Linked DNA regions of Tribolium castaneum. The protein of the gene in region 1 interacts with the protein of each later gene in a pairwise test. Links are inferred from orthologs where the notes say so. Each region holds a gene or a part of one and is shown in the gene's direction. Other genes may lie near its edges.

Evidence for each region.
Region 2: the proteins of Not1 (region 1) and Not11 interact in binary tests that used the Homo sapiens proteins (3 or more experiments, as listed by UniProt). The link is inferred for Tribolium castaneum from reciprocal best matches to the Homo sapiens genes CNOT1 and CNOT11.

What each region holds. Positions count from the first base shown.
Region 1 is NC_087394.1:30,458,289-30,462,820, reverse strand, and holds the start of Not1 (CCR4-NOT transcription complex subunit 1), read left to right. Parts: upstream 1-1,474; 5' UTR 1,475-1,789; coding exon 1,790-1,891; exon of another isoform or gene 1,892-1,956; intron 1,957-2,138; coding exon 2,139-4,532. Other genes in the region: putative leucine-rich repeat-containing protein DDB_G0290503, read left to right, coding at 1-403, 450-832, 880-1,002, 1,060-1,131.
Region 2 is NC_087396.1:20,954,531-20,958,826, forward strand, and holds Not11 (CCR4-NOT transcription complex subunit 11), read left to right. Parts: upstream 1-1,713; 5' UTR 1,714-1,817; coding exon 1,818-1,855; intron 1,856-1,901; coding exon 1,902-1,993; intron 1,994-2,036; coding exon 2,037-2,182; intron 2,183-2,230; coding exon 2,231-2,356; intron 2,357-2,415; coding exon 2,416-2,718; intron 2,719-2,830; coding exon 2,831-3,040; intron 3,041-3,086; coding exon 3,087-3,545; 3' UTR 3,546-3,549; downstream 3,550-4,296. Other genes in the region: MAU2 chromatid cohesion factor homolog, read right to left, coding at 11-565, 612-740, 789-911, 961-1,140, 1,190-1,414; ATP synthase subunit s, mitochondrial, read right to left, coding at 3,550-4,116; HSPC300 (probable protein BRICK1-B), read right to left, coding at 4,118-4,144, 4,194-4,276. UniProt on the Homo sapiens protein: Component of the CCR4-NOT complex which is one of the major cellular mRNA deadenylases and is linked to various cellular processes including bulk mRNA degradation, miRNA-mediated repression, translational repression during translational initiation and general transcription regulation.

The sequences.
Region 1 (4,532 bases):
CTTACAAACGCCAAAACTATGTTAGAGGGTGAAAAATTTGCCCTAGACTATGAGCTGAGGCGCTGCACTAATGAAATTGCCGAAATGAAAAAGGAAATTGCTGCTTTGACTGAAAACAGGAACAATTTGTTGAAAGAATCGGTAGATAATGGGCACACTATTCAAAAATTGAAAGACGAAATTCTCAATTATAAAAAATGTATTAAAGTGATGGAACAAAATAAATTAGAGATTGAAAAACAACTGGAAAACACTCAGAAGCAGCTGAATGATGCAAAACAGGAGACCATAGACTTGCAAAAGACAGTCAATGGAGTAAATGAAGATGTGGTGCGGAAAAAGTTATTCAAAGAGTTGTCAGACGTTGAAAGTGGTTTGGAACAAGATAAAAGAAACAGCGATAGTAGGTTTGTGTTTTAAATTTACTACTCCTATCCCTGAACTTGTAGTTGTGACCAGCGACGTGTTTCAAAAATGTTTGCAAGCACAGCTCTTGAAAACCGAATTGTTGTTGCGTGATCGGTTGCAAGAAGAAAATTCAAAGAAAATGGAAAAAATCGAAGAGGAATACAAGAAAGTCATTCAACAGCGGTCCGATTTGTATCACAAGGAGAAGGAAAAGTGGAAGATTCAGGAAGCAAATTATCGCAAACAGTTTGCTGCAGTTTTGGAGGAATGTGGGCGTAAGATGGAAACTTTAGAAAAGGAAAACATTGAGTTAGCCAAGCGCTTGCACATCCTCATCCAGGAGTGCAAAACGTATAAAAGTAGCAACATCGCGGTTCTGGACAAGTATAACAAACTGGCCACGAACCATAAAAAAGCTTTTGAGGTACCGATTTTTTCTTCAAGTAAGAGCAATTCATCGTTTTATTACAGGATTTAAACAAGCGATGGGCGTCCCTTTTGGAAGCGTATATGTATAATGCAACAAAAATTGAAAAGCAGACCAACAAGAACGTGAAAAATGTCCTGAAAAAAATGGTTTTAAATGACCGAGAGGTAATAACATGCTACGTGTAACGCATTTCTTGTTTATTTAATCAATCTCTATTCCAGATTCAATTAATAGAAAATATTTATAAGGAAAAGATGAAGAAAATAGTTGCTGAGAGGCATAGCAAATCCTGAAAGCTTCATCTTCATTTTCAATATTCTACATGTTTTAATTACAATTTGTATTTTGAACAGTTAAGAAATAAAGAAATATATCTTTGCCAGTTCGTTTTATTTTTATCTGTCCTTTATTCACACTGAGTGATAAGATAACATGCGATAAGTAAATGGAGATAACGTTTTTATTTTGAATTCGGGTGAAAAGAGCGGGTAGAACTTACCGTTCATGACGTGAGGTGCCGCTGCAGTTTCAAATTCGGATCATTAGTTTTCTTCGGCTTTCGAAGCACATGTGAAAAGTTGACGTTTTCCTGCCATTTTCGTGCGTGTTCCGGGTGGTGTAGTTTTTTTTTGCGCGTCTTTTCTGGAAAAATAATCAAAATACACGTAACTATAACCACACATCCCCTCAGGATAGTGAGCTCGTTGTTGGTCATGCGTAGTTTCATACATATGTTTTATTCGATGCATGTGTTGTGTGTTGCGTGAGTCAAAAGATGATTCTGGTAAATTAAAGTGGTGAAAAGTACATTAAAGATTCGATGATGGTCTTGGACCATTTAAAATTTAGTTGTTTTTCAAAAATACATAAGACTTTGTGGATAAAAGCCCCGTGCATACCTAAGAAAGCTTCAAAAGTATTTGAAGCTTTCGAGGCCGTGTTCATGGAACTATGAACCTAGACTCGTTGTCTTTTACCTTGTCACAAATAAGTTATTTAGTTGCATCATTAACCAAAAAGAACTACAAGCAAGTCGTTGCCGAACTCTCAAAGGTAAGAGTAGCGGAAAATTTGAACCGTTGCAAATGCGTGGACTAAAATTATCAGATTGACAAATCGGCCATCTTTTCCATGCCAGCTGTCACGCACAGTTACCGATCGAGCAATGTTGTGGTGAACAAAGGTGTTTTGATTGTTATTATTTTTTTCGTTCACGTTCTTGCAAAATGTCATTCAGATTATCAGAGTGCTTCTTATCACTTAAACAGCTTTTAAATTTGATCAAACGTTCGTTTTATAGTTGGTAACTTTGCATGGTCTGGAGGCGGACCGTCACTTGCTCCAATGTCTATTTTCATCAGTGGACTTTTCTGAATCTACAAGCAAAATAACCGCTCCATCTCCCCAAAATCAAGCATTGTTAGAGCAGTGTTCGAACTTGTTGAACAAACCCTCGCTGCTGACGTCTGTTTGCTACATCACAGACAATCCATTGAGCACCAACAAGGTAACAAAACCGCTTCGGTGGGTCACTTTTTCTGCAGCGGTTCCGTTACAGGCTTTCAAATTCGGACCCCAGTTCTTCCAGCAGTTGAGCAAGTGCCTTCGCCTCTCAGCTGTCCAGGAAGTCGTTTTCGCTCTCGCCCTTCGCCACTCTTCAAACCAGGAAGTTTCGTCTTTAGCCCAGGCACATTTACGGTTAACGGTTCCGACTCTCATCCAGTCGTATATCGAGACTGAAGGCAGCACCCGCCAGCACGAAGGGGGCCTCCACGAGACCACCCCCGAGGTCCTCCACTTGATCCTCTCCGCTGTTCTGAAAGCCCCCAAAGACGTTGGGCTCACCAACAACGCGCACCGGGCGTTTCTCGACACTCTCCAGCGCGACTTCCCCAAAGACCTCGTTCCCGTAGTGTTAGCACCGTTAGTTTACCCCGAACATTGTGAATTGTCGCCGGAAATGTCATCCGAAGGCCCCGGTTTATCCGGGGGCATGTTAGAGACTTCGCTGGCCGATCTGGTGGCTGAGATCGGTTTCGGTTTTACTTCGTCGGTGGAAGAATGTCGGAACAACTTGATGAAGCTTGGGGGACGCGACATCACCCCTGCAACAGTCGCTCGGATCCTTACCGTTATGTGCCGAACACACAGTGGCCTTGAAGATTCACTCAGTCTACAATCGCCAGGCAGTTTTAATAAGGGCAATGAGGGGCGCACTTGGAACGTGGAGGTTTTCGTCCAGGCGTTGAAAGAGGTCGTGCCGAACTTTCAATGGGCCAACACTGTGGCCGAGTTGGACCATCCCGAATTTATTATTAAAGATAGACAAGGACTCATTATTCTAATAAGTGCACTTCGACATGGCCTCCAGACGCTGGGATTCCACCCGGAAACTTTTCCAATTGACCAATTTTATAAGAGATGGACGAACGTCGAGGGGCAGTTCAGTCTCGTTCAACATGTTCTCAAAAATCCAGATGTGTTCTGTTTTGCTGACTATCCCGCGATGACCGTCAGTGTTGACGTTCTCAAAACACCACCGGAACAAGACAGCAAGGAACTGGCCAATTGGAGATCGTTAAATCTGGTCGAGTTGCTCCTGCACATGTCTGAATGTGGCTTGTTCACTTACGTTCAAGAACTGTTCAAATATCCAATGCACAACTGTCCTGATGTCTTAGTCCTCGCATTGTTACAAATACAAGGGCCTGTAACGCTCCTCAGACAAGAATTACTCTCCAACTTGATCCCAATCTTTCTCCTGAATCACCCAAACTCTGCCATAATACTACACCATGCCTGGCACACCACCAACATCAATATCAAATCCATAATAATGCATGCCATGGCCGAATGGTATGTGCGAAGCGACTGCGATCAAACGAGACTGTCCCGAATTCTGGACGTTGCCCAAGACCTGAAAGCCCTCTCAATGCTCCTAAACGCCCAAAACCAACAATCTTATCCGTTCATCATCGACTTGGCTTGTCTTGCATCCAGACGTGAGTACCTCAAGCTGGAAAAGTGGCTCTCGGATAAAATCAGAGAACACGGCGAGCCTTTTGTCCAAGCTTGCGTCAAGTTTTTGCACCGCCGTTGCCCGCAAATCCTGGGCAAAAGTGACGACGCTATGACCAAAGCTTCGTCCCTACCCAACGAAACTTTGACCACGATTATGATTTGTTTGCAATCTTGCATGAACAGCGTCAGTCCCGAGTGCCAAGAGGCGATAATCAACGTCACCACCGGTTGCAGTATTTTACTGAAATCGCGTCAACAGCCGGCTCTTGTTAGGTCCAGGGGCGTTGAAGGCCCGTTCAGTGTTTCGGCAATGTCGGGACAGCTTTACAACCACTCTGCTGTCGATACTATTCCCGGTTTGACCACGAATTTGGCCAGCATGACAATGTCGGGGCCCACTAGTTCGGCGTTTAATTTGCAAGGGGGACTCGGGCCGCTAGTGCAGTCTCCCGGGTCTCCTTCGCGGATTTTGGGTGCTGGTCCTTCAAACAGTCCGTTTCCGATGATGCCGTTGCAACATCAGGGACCAGTAGGGACCAGTTCGTCGCTGGTTTTGGGAGTTAATCAAATCGGGAATATTGGAAGGATGGGCCCGGCTTCGAATATTGATAAAAGCAGGATTCCTGAATATAACTTGTTCCCGGAAATGTCGCCCAACGTATCGAAGGATATT
Region 2 (4,296 bases), on another chromosome or scaffold:
TTATAATTACGTGTAAGGCGGCCATGAACTGCGCCTCGGCCGCCTCCATACAGTTCATACTCATGGAATAAAGCCCCAATAAAGTGTGCAATTGTGGTCCGTGTGTCTCTAACAACTTGGCATTTTGCCGACAAAGAGCCACAGCTGAGGAGATTTCTTGCAAGGCTTGAGTCTTGTTACCCATCACAAGACGACACATAATTATATGTTCGAGTAACATTAACTGGAAAACCGACAAAATCGGCTTATTATCTACAACTGTTAGAATTGTTGGACGTGTCAGATAAGTGTACAAAAACCAACTTTTCAATTTCTCGATTTGCATTAACGCCTTATCGGTGTATTTCTGGGCCTTTTCCATATAACCGGCCTGCATACTGTGCATCACAGTTACCAAATAAACCAAAACGTAGAGATGCTCTTTGGGCATCCATAAGAACATATCGCCAACACTTGGCCCTGTAAAAACATCATCCGTTGCCATTATTGTTTGTATGCTTTGTTGCAACTGCTTCAGGCAAGGTTTTACGCTTTTTACCTGACCGGCCATTAGACAATGGCACACCTGAAAATTGCTTTGAGCACAAAACCAATCAAATTGAGTAACGGACTTGCAACACCAAAAAATACACTCGGAGGTATTCCTTCTGGTACGCAGCGCCTGTCCAAGTTTCAATCAAGTGACCGGCTTGGTTTAATACTGGCTGGACTTCTTGCAACTTTTTGTCAATCAATAATAACTAAAATTACAATTTTAGCCCAATTTTGTGATTTAATTAAAGTCTTACCATTCCTTTACTTAAAAGAAACAAAACTCGAGTGTAACAAGCATTCGAGATGTGGGCATAATCCACCCCAACACCCAGCAGACTACTGGCCAACTGGTAGTCTTTCTCAGTTGCGTGAATTTGCTATAATTTTACAATTAAAATAGTTCTGCCAAATTGTATAATTAATTACCGCAAGCTGGAAAATTAGCCTGCAATGCCAGTAAACATTATGTTGCGACAACTCGATCGCTTTCCTCAAAATGGGCTTAGACAGCGAAATTTGCTGCTGTTGTTCGTACAATTCGGCCAAAACGCTCGCCGCTTCGAATTTAACATCGTCAAAGGTGTTGATCATTTGTGACAACAACCACTGAATTCAATCACGTCCAAATGAGTGTTAAATCAAGGGGCGCACTTACCGCTTGTTCCAAGTGGTTTTTCGCCAAGTCCGTGTTCTTGGTATGGGTCAAAAGTATGTTTCCGAGTTGTAAATGAGTGCGAGCTTCGACCCGCGGCGGTGGTTTAAAATTAAACACAGCCTGGAGGCACTGGATGCAGAGCTTGATCATAGGGGGGCTCGAGGTGCGGAAATGCTCGGCTAGCCCCAGGAGGGACAGGTACCAAGCGTCTTGGGACGAAGCCATCGCGAGGGATTGATTATTTTACACAAAATTCGCACCCAAACATGGTTTTTGCGCAAAATTGAAATATTTTGGGTCGACTGTCAAGCCAAACGCCAAACACCACACATGGGCGAAAATGCGGCGGTCGGGTCCGCATAAGGTCGAAAACTCCAACTCCCATTCATTGATTATTCTAATTAATCAACTTATTGATTATTTCAGTTGATTAGTTTATTGAATATTGCATTAAAAACTTTTTTCCTGCTTTTTATTTTTTTATTTTTGACGAAAAACACGGGTTTAGGTGTGTTTGGCCGACTAGATTTTTCGGTCTTATGGTGATAAATGTCAATGTCCGAATTGGGTTTATAGGTTAGAGTATATAAAATAAATTTCGTAAAAATAGGTGTTTTATTGCAAAACGATGGCCCTCACGGTGGAACAATGTGATATCTTACTCGAGTAAGACCAGTTCAATTTTGGCGCCCTTTTAATTCAGTTTTTGTAGTATTTTGGGTGAGACAAAGGTGAGAACCCACACTTTAGAAAGCCTTTCGAACGAGTTGCACAAAAAATTCGACTCTTGTGACTATTTTAAAGGTAAAAACCGCTATTTGATTACCCAAATAACTGTTTTTTTCAGTCGGAACTTGTCTGGTAATGATGCTTCAGCAAGATCTGTTGAAAGAGCCTGAGCAAAAACTTGTTGCTATAACGCTTCTGTATGAGTTATATCGGGGCGAAGCTCTGGCAAACACCCCTTTTGCCAACGTTTTCAACCACCTTTTGGTTTGTAATCACAGAAATTTAGTAATTGTAACATAGAAATTATCCTAGCACCCCCCGGAACACCAGAGTAGTGTCGGGTCCCCCAAACAGGAATATCCAGGCCAACTACCCAAACTGACACCACCAGAAAAACAATTCTTAACGCAACTGTTATCAGATGTGCCCAAAGATGCTGTAAGATTATCCAGGGCCTCCCCTGATAGGAAATTACTAAACGATTTTTTTTCTTCAAGATTTTGAAAAAAACAGCCACGCAAATAATCAATTCAGACGTTGGGAATACGCAAACAAATTTCGATTTTTCCGTTGTACAATTACTACTAGCCGAAAAACAGTCTGAATTGCCACACACTTGCAAAACAGGAATTCCTGTAGTTTTATCACTGCCTGAAAAAACTAACAATTATACGACAGAACGGAACGATTATGCAGCCCTTGTGAAAACTATAGCAACCGGTGATAACGCCCCCATTAATAAAGTGTACAAACCGGAATTTGTGACACTAGCACCGCCTTTGCTCAACACAGATGATGAAGTAAGGTTACATAATACAGCTTCTTTGTTTAATGCTATGGAGACGAAGGGAAATTTCCATTAATCAAGGAAGCTGTGATAATTTATTACTACCCTTGATTGTGTTTTTTAAGATGGTGTGGCTAAATCCGACAAACATCAAAGAACACACTGTAGCATATGACGTGACGATGTGTGTGCCTGACACAGCAGGCCAGGAGGCGAGACAATTGATGAACAAGGCGTACAAATCAGCGCTGTCTTTGCAACAGCAGCAACAACTGCTAGGCGAGCTGGAAAACGACTCAAAACTTGTGTACCACATTGGTTTGACTCCGTCCAAAGTATGAATCGAAATTTGGTGATTTTCGCTGATTTGAGTGCTTGCAGTTGCCCGAACTGGTGGAAAATAATCCACTTATCGCGATTGAAGTTTTGCTCAAGCTTATGCAATCGAAACAAATAACGGAATATTTCAGCGTTCTTGTCAACATGGAAATGTCGCTGCATTCCATGGAAGTGGTAAATCGGCTCACAACGACCGTGGATTTGCCCACAGAGTTTGTCCACTTGTACATTTCGAATTGCATATCGACTTGTGAGACTATCAAGGACCGTTATATGCAAAATCGGCTGGTTCGACTGGTTTGTGTGTTTCTCCAGTCGCTCATTCGCAACAAAATAATCAACGTCCAGGAGTTGTTTATCGAAGTTCAGGCGTTTTGTATCGAGTTTAGTCGCATTCGCGAAGCTGCCGCTTTGTTCAGGCTATTGAAACAGTTGGAGTCGGGGGAACAGATCGGACTTGTCTCCTCGCCAACGATAATGAAAGCAAAGCTCGAGGGTTGATTATTTAATGGAACTGTATCGTACAATGTGGCAGGCCGTGCTGTAATTTATCGACGATTTTTTCCCTCTCTTTGACGTACGGCAGATCGGCCAGAATCAGCTCTTTTAAGTTATTCAACGCGTTGAGGTGACTCAGCCCCGGCTCTGTTATATTCAAACACTCGGTGATTTGTAAATAAAGTAATGAGTTTTTTAAAACCGACAGCCCTTTCAACGCCTCATTCTCCAGATAGTAGCACTTGTGGAAAATGATTTTCCGGATGTGTTCGCACCCCACGAAATGGTCAAACCCGTAGTGCATTATGCTGGCTTCAGACGCGTTCACTTCCACGATGTGTAACCTAATCCTGTCGCTCGGCAGTTTGTTATAGTCTGTGAGAAACTCGTTGCAGTGCTCCCACTTGACGTGGGCCCCGTTCCGCAACAGCCACTCGGCACAAGACCTGTCAGGCCCCACTTGTTTCCGTCGTTCGTCGTCCACGCGGTTGAAGACGATGTTCAGCCAGTGGAAGAGGGTGCGCGTGTGGGGGATGAGCGGCCTTTGGAGGTGGCTGAGGCGAGTGAGGAGCATCTTATGTCAAGGTTTCCCCTTTGGTGACCTTCAGTTTATTTGTAAATAAAGCGCAGTGTTATGTAAATGAGACTTACACAAGCTTCCAAATAGTCGATCTTTCGCTCGAGAGTTGTCAACTTTTCGTTTAAAACGGCGAGTTTTGATCGACAAGATAAGTCTAAAAATAATTTTTGCGAG